Linked DNA regions of Rattus norvegicus. The protein of the gene in region 3 binds, or shares a complex with, the protein of the main gene of each other region. Links are inferred from orthologs where the notes say so. Each region holds a gene or a part of one and is shown on either strand. Other genes may lie near its edges.

What was found. Proteins that work in one complex are often made in the same cells at the same time.
Region 1: the proteins of Gnaq (region 3) and F2rl1 are in contact, whole or in part, in a cryo-EM structure (PDB 9D0A), measured with the Homo sapiens proteins. The link is inferred for Rattus norvegicus from reciprocal best matches to the Homo sapiens genes GNAQ and F2RL1. Residues at the interface, in NP_002063.2 of Homo sapiens: Arg37, Ile323, Tyr325, Asp346, Ile348, Leu349, Gln350, Asn352, Leu353, Glu355, Tyr356, Asn357, Leu358, Val359; in NP_005233.4 of Homo sapiens: His108, Pro109, Ala110, Met114, Gln172, Arg173, Val176, Ile177, Pro180, Met181, Gly182, His183, Ser184, Arg185, Met265, Met268, Leu269, Met274, Asp275, Asn277, Lys280, Lys281, Arg284, Ala285, Leu288, Ile289, Tyr344, Tyr345, Val347, Ser348.
Region 2: the proteins of Gnaq (region 3) and Cckbr are in contact, whole or in part, in a cryo-EM structure (PDB 7F8W), measured with the Homo sapiens proteins. The link is inferred for Rattus norvegicus from reciprocal best matches to the Homo sapiens genes GNAQ and CCKBR. Residues at the interface, in NP_002063.2 of Homo sapiens: Arg30, Arg34, Asp35, Arg37, Arg38, Leu40, Ser198, Val199, Phe341, Lys345, Asp346, Ile348, Leu349, Gln350, Asn352, Leu353, Lys354, Glu355, Tyr356, Asn357, Leu358, Val359; in NP_795344.1 of Homo sapiens: Thr87, Val88, Thr89, Asn90, Glu151, Arg152, Ala155, Ile156, Pro159, Leu160, Ala162, Arg163, Val164, Trp165, Gln166, Thr167, Ile241, Leu245, Gly248, Leu249, Val331, Leu335, His394, Arg396, Phe397.

Annotation. Positions count from the first base shown.
Region 1 is NC_086020.1:28,517,147-28,521,161, reverse strand, and holds the start of F2rl1 (proteinase-activated receptor 2 precursor), read left to right. Parts: upstream 1-1,207; 5' UTR 1,208-1,294; coding exon 1,295-1,382; intron 1,383-4,015. UniProt on the Homo sapiens protein: Receptor for trypsin and trypsin-like enzymes coupled to G proteins.
Region 2 is NC_086019.1:169,182,372-169,186,385, reverse strand, and holds the start of Cckbr (gastrin/cholecystokinin type B receptor), read right to left. Parts: upstream 2,809-4,014; 5' UTR 2,774-2,808; coding exon 2,623-2,773; intron 2,414-2,622; exon of another isoform or gene 2,208-2,413; intron 2,101-2,207; exon of another isoform or gene 495-2,100; intron 1-494. UniProt on the Homo sapiens protein: Receptor for gastrin and cholecystokinin. The CCK-B receptors occur throughout the central nervous system where they modulate anxiety, analgesia, arousal, and neuroleptic activity.
Region 3 is NC_086019.1:222,851,033-222,855,255, reverse strand, and holds the start of Gnaq (guanine nucleotide-binding protein G(q) subunit alpha), read right to left. Parts: upstream 2,804-4,223; 5' UTR 2,709-2,803; coding exon 2,573-2,708; intron 1-2,572.

The DNA of each region.
Region 1 (4,015 bases), on a different chromosome or scaffold from region 3:
TGTTATAAAAATTTTAATGGCAAAACATAGGAATAAAAACATATTGACAAAATGTATTCAATCATTTACAATACAAACAAGGATATATAGCCCAACTGGCCTCCAACTCTATGCTCCTGCCTGTCTCCGTGGTGGCGATTACCCCTGGTCCTTGGACATGCTCTACCACTGAGCTACAAACCCCAACCCACGCCTCTATATTGCTCTGGAATATGGCATCACACGCAGAAGAGACCCGAGTGGAATCAGGTATAGAGCAACACATTGTGGACGCATTTCAGTCACAGACTTGAGCTTGGAAGCGAAGGAGATTTACAAACCGGGTCCATGAACTGTTAACCCGAGGCAGCAAACATTCTAAGTCCCATCTCCAGATGGAGCGAGCATACATGGTTGCTGTAGGCTTTAGACAAGCTAAGAGTACCGAACCATTGGCGGTTAGTATTTTCCACACTCTAGCTCACACATCCGGGTTTGTTTAATGACACTGGTCGACAGATGAGCTTAAAACCTAATCCCAGAACGCGGAGTCCTTCCTGCCCCTTTTGACGGAGTTCACAGCAGTCTGCTCTGCCTCTACTTGAGCGAAACCTCACCAGATGTGCTGGTGGCACCATCCTGGCACCAGCACTTAGGAAGTGAAGGCTGGAGAAACGCCACAAGTTTGAAGTCAAGAGGGTAGGGGAGGCAGAGAGTTTTAGCAAAAAGGCAAAACAAGACAGCATTCAACAAAACAAACAACAACAAAAAAACCCTTTCATATCCGTCAGCTCCCACACTGCCTATTACACCACAAAGCCTTCCACACCAATTGCTGAAGACAAAGGCAACAGCTTAGACTTTCTAACATTTACAAGAGGATGACCTCACTGGTTCTCTGAAGTAATTAAAGGTTAAAGATAGTTTTGGACATCGCCCAGGCTCTAAGAACCCTGGGTCCCAACCTTCCTGTCATTTGCATTCCAATGGAGCCACCTCACCGGTCCAGCCCCACCCGCAGGCGACTCCAGCAGCCAAGTGGACGCTGGCCAACACACCGGAGCTACGGACAGGCTGTGCCGGGCTGGATGGCCCGGGGTGGGTGGGGCTTGCGTAAAACGGTCGAAGGGGCGTGGTCTCCTGGGAGGCGTGGCCTATCGCAGGTGCGTCCAGAGGCTCCGGTTTCACTGAAACGGGTCCCGCCCCAGGAAGGCTCAGTGAGGCTGGTGTTAAAGGAAGGGGACCCGGTACTCCGAGTGGGGCTCGGAGTTTCGAACCACTGGTGGCGGATTGCCCGCCCGTCCCACGTCCGGGGATGCGAAGTCTCAGCCTGGCGTGGCTGCTGGGAGGTATCACCCTTCTGGCGGCCTCGGCCTCCTGCAACCGGACCGTGAATGCACCGGGTGAGTTGGAGCGGCGGAGGAACGCGCTGGGCTGGTGGGGGGAATGGGGTAGGAGCGCACATCCCCGCTCTCTCAGTAGCTTTGATGGGGGTCCCTAACCAGGGCCAATCAGCCGGGACACCCGAGAAGTGCCCCCAAAGACATGCTAGAAACAGTCCTGGTCTGGGCACTTGAAATCTCTATTGGTCGACGTGGTTCGGGAGATAAGGAAGGAGCGCAGGCAGGACTCAGCCTCCCCTCCCTCCGGTGGTTCCTTTGCAAACACTGAGTCATTGAGAGCTTTTCGCGGACCCTGTGAACTCCGTTCGGCTGGGTGCTACCAGACCCCTGGATTACAGCAATTTGATGGCTCACGGTTGGGCGGAGTGAGTGGGAACCCGAGCCCTGGGAAGTTCCCACCTCGCGTTTTGCACTCGCACCCATCCACTGAACCCCTTCGTTGGGGGTTGAACCACAGTGTTCGAGACCCACTCGGGGCTACGGTGCCTGGCATCGCAGTGGATGCGCTGGACATGGAACTCAGTGGGGTTGGATGTCACGTGGTGGTAGAAGGGGACCTTTCCGACCCTTATTATATTTTTTCTAGACTTTTTTAGACTTTCTAGCCTAGAGATTTCGAGACCTTCCGGGGCCTCGGAGCTCACCCTGGTAGCCACCCAGTTCTAGTTCTGAGGCTGCCTAGCCCAAGAAACAGAACTGCAAGAAAGCGGTTCGGGGCGGTGCTTCAGTGGCCCGCCGCCGTTTTGGGCGGGTGGTGCTTCTCCCGGTGAGCTCGAACTGGCGCTTCTAGAAGCCAGGGAGACCTCTGCAGGCTGTAGGGTGGGGTGGGAGGTGTTTACTGCAAGAGATAGCCAGCTACACTTGCTAGAGTCATAAAGGTCATTTCTAGCCTTTACTTTGTCGATAAGTTGTAGAAGAACGTCTAACCCCTCTCGGTTTGCCTGTCATTTAAAGTTAGAACTTTAAAATTCAGAAGCAAAAGTTAGTGTGTGCAAACTTTAAATAAAAAAGTGATTGGAAGTGATTACTTTGATGATTCACCAAGTATAGGAAACATATCATGATTATTTGGCTCCTTCCGTTTACAGAATGAGGAGATTGGGAGGGAAAGGTTCCTAGCGTACGAGGTGAACTTGATTTTAACAATAAAAAAAAAAAATCAGGTTACTTGTTAACCCGAGTTACTTAATATCCCACCTTGGTTTTTCTCTCTGTATAATTATACTCCATTGCCGGTGACTTTCCTAAACAGTTAGTCTAGTAACACAGACTTTAGAGGCAGGGAGGTTTTTTCTCAATTGAAATTAAATCATTTTGGTTAGGACACAGGGCACCTTGACATCTTTGCTCACGCCCCTCAAGTCTGGTCTTTCTGTCTGCGCCTTGACTTCTTAAGCAGCAGATTGGGCTTGGTTTTCTCCAGCCCCCAAAAGATTGCTTCTCGGAAAGGGTCCCAACCAAAGATAAACCTCATATTTTTGCAGGAGGGGGTGGGGTTGGGGCACTGAATTGCGAATGTGACATTTAAATCAGCTTTTCTCCAACACAATCACTACTGCAGTCTCCCCCTCTCCTGCTCCCTCTCCCCTTTCTTGTCTTGCTGGTCATCTAACCCAGGGATTTGCACAGGCTGGGTAAGTGCTGGACTGTTGCTGTTTCTCTAGTGACACAGTCAGTCCATTTCCGTTTTAAGACTGGTTCTTTTTTGGTGTTCGTTGTACTCTTTTCTTCTTTTTCTTCCTTTGAAACAGTATTGCTGTGTATCCATGGTTGGCCTGGAATTCTCTATGTATAACCACGCTGGCCTTGAACTTGCAACAATTCTTCTCTTCTGAATGATGGGATTACAGGAATGAATGCACCACCATGCTTAGACAACATTTTTAAAGTTAATTTAAAAACATTATGGGCACTGGTGTTTTTGCCTGCATTCATGTCTGTGTGAGAGTGTCGGATCCCCCGGAACCGGAGTTAGAGACAGTTGTCAGCTCCTACTTGGGTACTGGGAACTGAACCCAGATCCTGGGAGAACAACCAATGCTGAGCCCATCTCTCCAGCTCCCCATAACATTTTCTTTTTTAAAATCATAACAGTAATATGTGATCACTGAAAAAGAAAAAGAAAGAGGAGAAATTTAACGAAATCATCCTAAACACCGGTACTTAAAATAACCACTACTAACATTTTGATTTATATCTTTCCCATGCTTTTGTACCTGTGAAGTGCATAAAAATACATAACATTCCCAGATTAGAAAGCCTTGTACAAGTATGGGTTTTTAACATGTAAAGGTCAATAACAGTTTTAACAGCTTTCAAATATGGACACACACACACACACACACACACACACACACACACACACCAGCGTCCCATGTATTAAGTACTAAACCTTAGGGCCTCCTGTGTATTAATCAACCACCTTGTCACTGATTTTACATTTTATTTTGAGGCAAAGTCTCCTTAAACTGCCCAAACTCCTTGGATCCACTAGGTAACCCAGGCAGGCCTTGAACCTTGGGTTCCATTTCCTCATCCTGAATAGCTATGATTATAGACCAGCACCGGCAAGCCTGGCTTCATCCTTTTTAAATTAGTGTCTCGTGAACAGGCACACAGGATGTTTCCAAAGT
Region 2 (4,014 bases), about 54 Mb from region 3:
TCTCCCTGATGCCCCCACTCCTTGGACATTTTGCTAACTACTCTTGTTCACTTCTTGCAACCCCTTCTCCATGGCCCAGTCCTCCTCCTTCTGAGTCAGGTCTTGGTATCACATCACCCTCTCTGTAGTTATTGTGTATGAACAACCCCGGTGTGGATATTTTGTTCATCTCTGATTCATCATAGCAATAATTAGTATCCCTTACCTGACCTCAGCTAAGACTCTTCTCTCACTTTCTGCAAAGACACGGCTACTGTTTCTATTTCACTTACATCTCCTCCTGGACCTTCTTTCCTCTGCCTTGCTTTTAAATGCCAGCCTTCTGTAGGGTCCTGGCTCAGCTTCCCTGCTCTCATTTTATACAATATTTTTTAAAAGTATTTTGCCAATTCCTATGGTTTCTGGTTCTCCCCCCCAAAGGTGAAGACTTGCCAAGTCTATGTTTCCAGCTCAGATCTCCAAGGTAAGTTCCAGATCTCAGGATTCAACAGCTTTGGTGAGTAACCATCAATTTTTGAACTCTATGGGCTCCAAATTGAGTTTATAATAATTCCCTCTTTCAAAACTGTTTCTGCTCCTTCGTTATTAGGAGCTGAATGTAGGGCCTTGCCGTTGCAAGCAGGTGCTGTAATATGAAATGCACGTCTAGTCCCCCTCCTTGGTTGTCTCTCTATGATATGCCATCCACATCCTTTCAGTTGCCTAAACCAGAAACTGGATCTCATCCCTTGACTTCATCCACCCTCTCTATTTCTAATCAATGTTTAGGTTCTGTTGACTCCGTTTCCAGAAGTCGCTCTTGGGTCCGTCCACTTCTTTGCATCCTCACTGCCAGCCTCTCCATCTGTGCTAGCATCATCTTCCAGCCAGATTTGTGTAATGCAATAGCTTTCTAAAGTATCTTTCTGCATTCTATCTGAATCTCAACACCATGCAATCAATCCTGGCAGCACTATTTAGTGGATCCCAATGCCTCAGGAGGAAATCTACACATTATAGCAAGAGCTATAAAGCTCCCCAAGCACACTCTAGGTTGGTTTACACTGTTATTAGGAACCTTCAAGGGTACATGTTCCAGCATACAAAAACTGTGTTATACTGAACAGACATGCTATAGCCTTAAACTTTGAGCTTTTGAGACAGGATATCTTTCTCTAAGACATTTTATGCCTCTTCTGCTCTGTCACTTGGTTCTCTGTCATATTTCCCTACTTGATCACATCCATACCCCAGGAAACCCGTCTTAATCCCCAAGGGCAGAGTAGGCTGGAGATGTCCCTTTTATATATCCACAATGCTTCTTCTCTTTGTGCTACCATTCCTGGCTTACTGTCTGTTTCCCCTATAAACTCAGAGCTCCATGAAGTAGGGTTTTCGTCAGTTTTGTTAAATGCGTATCCTTGTTGCCTAGCAGTTTCTGGTCCAATAAATCTTTCCTGAGTGAAAGAGTAAGTGACAGTGGGTAAAAGCCAAACTGAGAAAGCATGAATTGTTTCATGGGCTGAGTAAATACGTAGGGTATAATTTAACAATGTTTACTTCTTGAACATAGAATCCAACTCCTTCCTTTTCCATTTACTGAACCCGAGCTCCCAGGTTCCACCCTCAGTGAAGTTACTAGACTCCCCAATTCCTTTGTGTGTCCATATTCCAATCAGACCCTCTGTGGGATTTCTAGGCAGTGATTTTCTCTGTCCCTGTGTACTTGGCTGCAGACTGCTGAGACTGCAGACTGTGTCTAGTTCGTTCAGTGTTCCCAGCACTAAGCCTAGTAAATGTTCATTAAACATTGCAAACAAATATGGGGATGGAAAGGGAACATGCATTTTAAGATGTTCATTGAAGCAATGAAGATGCTACTGATGGGAGGAATGAGTCATTTGCAGCCGGGATGAGGGAAAGCAGTAGGAAGGGAAGGTGACACAAAGGAATGGGGTGACTGTTGCCAGGGGAAGTTGGCTCTAGGCAAGTGAGAAAAGGGATACTTGGGGCGCTGTGGAAGGGACTCAGAGACCTTCAGAGTGACAGAGAAGACATGCAGATGGGTGGAGGACTTGACCCTGGGAACAGAAGAGTTTGGGGACAAATGGAACAAGAAAGGTAGCATTCCCTTGTGCTGGTTAAATTCAGATCTGAATGTAGCCCTCTTTTCTTGGGAAAGGTTGGGGTGGGGTGGGAGACTATTACAACTCTTATCTCCCATTCAGGCAGTCCAGAGAGCTTATGCCCTCACCGGCCCAGCCCTCCTTTGCCCTTCATTCAGAGGTTCCTGTCGCTCTCTCTCCTTGGTACTGGCTCTGTGAACTGGATGTTAAAGGAAAAGAAAGCTAGACCTGCTGACAAGAAGAGGTCCTTGTTTCCCGGCTGTGTGATGCTGAGCTCGGGGATGATCTGAGTAGCTATGGCAGAGCAAGTATGAAGTCGGGGGTTTTGAACCATGATGGGAAGGTGTTGGAGTTATGAGAGCTTGGGAGCGCAGTGTGTGAAGGGGGGGGGGGGGTCTCTGTGTGAGTCGCGGAAGTCCTACAAAGGAAAACTATGGGCAGCTGACAGAATAGAGGTCAGAAGGGTTCTTGAATAATGCTGTGGGGTTCAGTGAGAAGGGCTTAGGGAGGCACCCACCTCTGGTCCCGGTTCCGCGGATACGAGGGGGTTCACAGCTGAGGTTCCCGGCACTACTGCTGTTGAGAAGGGAGACACCCGGGCGGCACAAAGAAGACCCCGACCCGGGTCCTGGTCCCTGCACGCTGCGGTTCAGCTTGAGCAGCTCCATGGCTCCAGTGAAGTCCCACTTAGCTCTGCTAAGCGAGCTCTAGCACCGGTTCCACCTGCTCCCGCGGCGCTGGTGGCTCAGGCTCCCGCCCACCACATCGCCCGCCCCTCCTAGTTTCCGCCCCCTGCCCTGGCCCCAACTCCTCCACTCCCCCACCAGCCTCCCCTTAACCTCAGCCGGTTCCAGGCTCTAGGCGGCTTTTTGTCCCACCAGGTGACTCTCGGCGCGCCTCCTCGGCTCCAGAGTTCAGCGCGCGCTCCTGAGTGACTGCTCTCCAGGCTCGCCCCCGCGCTAGTTTCTCCCTTCTTCTCTTAAAGATGCCTTTTCTGCCCACCTCTTATACCAATGCCCCTAGTTCTGGAAGAGTGTGTGTGTGTGTGTGTGTGTGTGTGTGTGTGTGTGTGTGTGTGTGTGTGTGTGTGTTTACACGTGCGCCTGCCGGAGGGATGGGGTGATGGGAGAGTGAGTAGCTACTGTGGAGTCCAGCATCTTTCTTTGGTGGTTTAGATGACGTGGTGATGGCGGTGGTGATCCGGTTTTGCGTACCAGGCTCCCCTGCTACAGAGCAGGTGCCTTAGTACGTTTGGAGCCGCAGTTACGGAGTTCTGCCGCAGTGGCCGCAGTGATCGCCACAGTGTCAGCTACCTTAGCTCTTTGGTGAGGATTAGCTTCTGCCTTGGCATATCCCACCTCCTATCTGAAACTCCAAACCTAGGCTTCTTCTTCAAAGACTCTAAAGAGGGTCCTGGAGGGTCGCAAAGAAGACAAGGAAAAGGGTTGGAGTGAACTAGGGCGACCGGGAATTGAAGTGAGAACTGCTCTAAATGAACTGAGTTGAGGTGTGGTACGGGTTCTGGTATGGGTTCTAGTTCTCGCCCTGACCAGGGTGAAAGATAGGGAGCAGGCAGCGTCCCTCGTCTTTAGGCAGCGTCCACCCACACCTAAAACGACGATGCTCCATTTGCTGTCAGCATAGGTGCAGCACCGGGGTAGGGTGTTGGGTTCCCATGAGAGGGGGCCAAGGGAGGACTGGGTCACTGGGTTGTGGCAGGAGAGAGCAGGGAACAAAGTCGAAGGCGCCTCTGGTGTGCAAGAAGGCTCAAGTGGACTCTGCTTCCTTAGGCAGGACTGGCCTCCTTTTCTTTTTCAGCCTTGTTTCTACCAGTCTCCTCCATTCCAAAGAAATTCTGGTGCAATGTGAAATATCTTTTGAGATCCCAAAGTGGCTATCAGAGGTTGGG
Region 3 (4,223 bases):
GAGGCACATACTAGCGTAAGTACTGGATAATGACTCAAAAGAGCCTTACTGGCACACTTGATTATCTCGTCAGATAACCGGTTTTGTGATACCACCATATTTTAATAAGTAAATAATACATTGCTCCCTTGCAGGACAGTTTCCTTGAGTGTCAACCTTGAGTTAAAACTTATTTGAAAACAATTTTACACAGAACTTCAACATGAAGCATGATCCCTCCATGTACAGAAGCCTTCAAAGGTACTAATAATGTGATGAAATACATTCTGTAATCTCCTCTGGATAGATGTTGGTAAAATGAACGAAAGAACTAGGAAATGAAGACTACTCCCAAGGCAGCAGACCAGGAAGGAGCCCCTCCCCCAAGCACTCCCTTGTTCAACACTCATTTCCCTGCTAATCTCACACTCATACACACAGAGACGTTTACACTTAATGTCTATCATGATTACACAAATAATGTGGGTACTGCGTTTGGAAGAAGCCTATCCACACTGAGAACAGCCGTGATTGTTAATGATGCCCAGGGCTCCCACTTCTGACAGAGAACTGTATGGGTTTTTTAAAAAATGTTGTTCATAAATGCAGGTGCTGAATCAACAGCAAATTTTCTACCACCTCCACCAGTCTGTCTCTGATGGGTGAGGTGGGGCCATGTTTAAAGCCTGCTTCAATCTATAATCAGTGAGGGAGGGCCGCCACACACTTACACTGACCACATTTTTAGCAGTAGGACTGGAGGGATTTCCCCTCAGGAAATCATTCCCATGTTCATTTTTTTTAAAGCATAGCATATTATTAAAATAAACAGCATGTAATTAAGTATCTCTATAAGTGTATCCCCCTCTCAGGCATTTAAACCTAGGCCCTCTGACAAACCTAACTCATGGCTGCCTGGAAACCTCGAGCTGTCAAATTTCAGGCAAATAAGTTTGGTTAACTAGACCTCAAATGCCCTGTTCTTAGCTAAACACAAACATATGAAGATTGTAAACAAAGGAAAATTAAAAGCCAGGTCTAAGAGAAAAATCTCTAAAACACATGTTTTCCCTCTTAATTGTATACTGGAACACCGTATATTTATTCCACTTGCCCTTGCTTTTCCCTTCTCAATTTAAAAAAAAAAAAAGAAAGAAAGAAAGAAAGAAAAAGATAAGGCATTCCATTTTCAGCCATGAGAAGAAACAGAAATGATGAGGGTGGTAGACTTACCCAATTTCCCCACTCCCCTTGCCTTATTCCCCTAAAACCCACCTTTTTATTCAGCTCCTTGCCTTCTGTACTGTATGAACACTTTATATGTGCACATTTACCTAACTGGATTTCAATAAAAAAAAAACCTACGCTGGGGAAGGAAATAGCATTGGTAGCCATTTGTGATTGTGATATTTTGCTCCTGACTATAAGTGATCCAGTACATAAGCAGTTCGGTCCCCAAGGTAATGGGTTCCTGGAGCCAGCAGATGGACTGCTCCAGATAGAAAAGAAAGAGGGGAGGGGGGACTTCTCAAATCCCAACCAACGAAGCAATATCCTCTTCTTACAGAAATGTTTGAGAAGCGTTATTTTTACTCATACAAATAAACACAAGTGCAGACATTTTTCAGGCCTGTTCCTGCAAAGCAGTTCATGCTTCCTACCACAGTAGCAATAGTTATGTCATGCTAGCTTGTACATGAACCCTGATCGCTTGATTCCAAACATCCTCTCAGAGATAATAATCAATATAATTCCTATTTGAAAATAGCATTTTCTTCTTAATTTCGTGTTAAAGCAGAATGTTGGATTGTCATTTAGAAAAAAAAAAAAAAAGAGATCTGAGGGAAATTTTCTCGAACTCTTCCCGTTTTTCTTGGAGCCCAGATGGCAAGATACTAAAATGTCCGTTTTAAACAAAAGGTTTCTGTTTGTTTCCAGGAGAGTAACTGAGAGGCTGTGCTGGTTTCCAGTAGAAACTGCTGTGAATTCAGGCATACATCTGGGTCGCCTCATTAAACAAAAGATAGCCGTCTGCTGTCAACAACCACACAGTACAACACTCCCGGATCCTTCATCTTTATCCAGAAGGAATGGTGCAGAAGAGACGCCTGTCACCATCCACTGCCCATGCAACTCTCTGGGGTCACTCCTGTCAGTGGCCTGGTGGCTACAGTGGAGCACATTTGGGCTAGTCTTCCCGCCCCGCCCCTGCCCAGTACGTTAACCCGGGTTTCTTTGGAGCGCCAGCCAAGGCTTCCTCAGCACCTTTCCTAGCTGAATCCAGACCCTAGTCTGCTCCCCGTTTCCACCCTTCCCTCTCCACCCTACAACGCGCCACAATGGACGCTGGCCTGCCACCGCACTGCACGCCATCGCCCACCCGCGCCGCTCGCGCGGACGCTCAGCCGTCCCGCAGACGCGGCGCACAGAGCACGGCCCTAGCTGACACCGAAGGCGCACACCGCAGCTCCGGAGCCCCGGCCCTCGGCCCCTGTGTGCGCGCGCGCGGGTGCGGGTGCCGACCGGGAACGCGCGCGGGGAGGGCAGCGGCGAGCCGGGGCGGGGGGCACCAGGGCCCAAGGGCCGCACTCACCCAGCAGCAGCAGCTTGAGCTCCCGGCGGGCGTCGCGCTTGTCCCTGCGCAGCTGCCGCTCGATCTCGTCGTTGATCCTCCGGGCTTCCTTGGCCTCCTCGCTCAGGCAGCACGCCATGATGGACTCCAGAGTCATTCTTCCGAAGTGCCTCGCTGCAGCCCCGCCGGCGCCCTGCTCACACGCGCGCACACACGCCCTCCGCCCTCGCTCCCCCGAGGCAGCGGCGGCCGCGGAGTCCCGCCGCCCGGGCGCGCGTCAGGGACGAGCTCAGGGAGCCGCGGTGAGGACGGCGGCCGGGCCCGTAGCCCAGGCGGGCCGGGGACGAGCGGGGCCGGGGGCCTGGGACGCGCGAGGAAAGGCCGCCGCGCCCGGCCGCGCTCACACGCCGCCTTCTTGGAGAGCGCGCGGCCCTCCAGGCGCCGCTGCCGATGCTGCCCTAAGCTGTGCGCCCAGCGGCCCGAGCTCATCCACCGAGGCGGCCCAGCAGCGAGCGACCGCCGACGGCTCCGCGCGCCCGGCGCGCCCGCTCCTCGCCGCCGCCTGACTCGGCTCCGGGCGCCCTCGGCCTGCCCGCGCCCACTCGGCTCGCGCGCAAACCGGGCAGCCGGCCGCCGCGCGCTCCCCGCCTCCGCCCCCGCCTCCGCCGGACGCCCACCCGGCCCGATTGCCAGGCGCGCCGCGGCTGCTCAGTGCTCGCCCTCCCCCTCGCCACACACACACATTTTCTCCTTTCTCTGAACTGGAGCACAGATCCGGGAGGGAGGCGGCGGCGGGAGGAGGGCGGGCGCAGGGGGCGGGCGCAGCGCAAGGGGCGGGGCCGAGGCCCCTCCTGGACAGCTCGCGCTCTCCTCGCCCCGCCCCCGACTGCCGGCCTGGCTCGCCCGCCGCTTCCCTCTGCGCGAGCCCGGGAGCAGCGGTCACGGCCGCTCAAGCGGGGCCGGCCGGCCGGCGAACACAGTCCTTTGGCTGCCGCGGGCCGCCGGGGCGTGGTCGGCGAGAATATGGCGTCCTCGGCCTGCCCTCCGGCCGCTGGCGCGGCGGGAGCCCTGATGGGTGCCCACGCGCTGCACCCCAGGCCTCTCTACAGCCCTGCTGCCCTTTCCTATTTCTAAAACGCCATTCCGGAAAAACTGCCTCAAGTGGCCTCTGACTCCAGATCTGTCTTAGAAAATGGGATACTCTTTACTAGGAAAGAGAAAGGATTGTCACCGGCTCGCTGGGGGTTACCAAGAGATCTGTGGACGGAACTGTCCTCAGTATCTCCAGATAGGAATCTGAATCCTGAAGAGAAAAACCCAAGTTTCCAAGAGCCTCCTGATCTGTTCCAACTTTTCCGGTCACTAAGGTGATTTCTGTTTCCCTACCAGCACACTATGTTAAAAAGTCTGATATTATGAGCTTGACCCTTCTACACCGTGACAGTTAAGGATGATTTCTGGGAGATCTCCAAATAGTACAGAATGAAATGAAAGAGACGGATATGGTGTGTCATAAACTCCACACTCGACAGGCTGAGGCAGGAGAATTGCTTCCTGAGCAGTATGAAACATTGTATCAAAGAAAAGGGGGAGGGGAGAGAATAAAATAGGAAAAAGTGGAGAAACTAGTACCATTGGAGCAAAATTCTACTTGGTTTTTACACTTCTAATT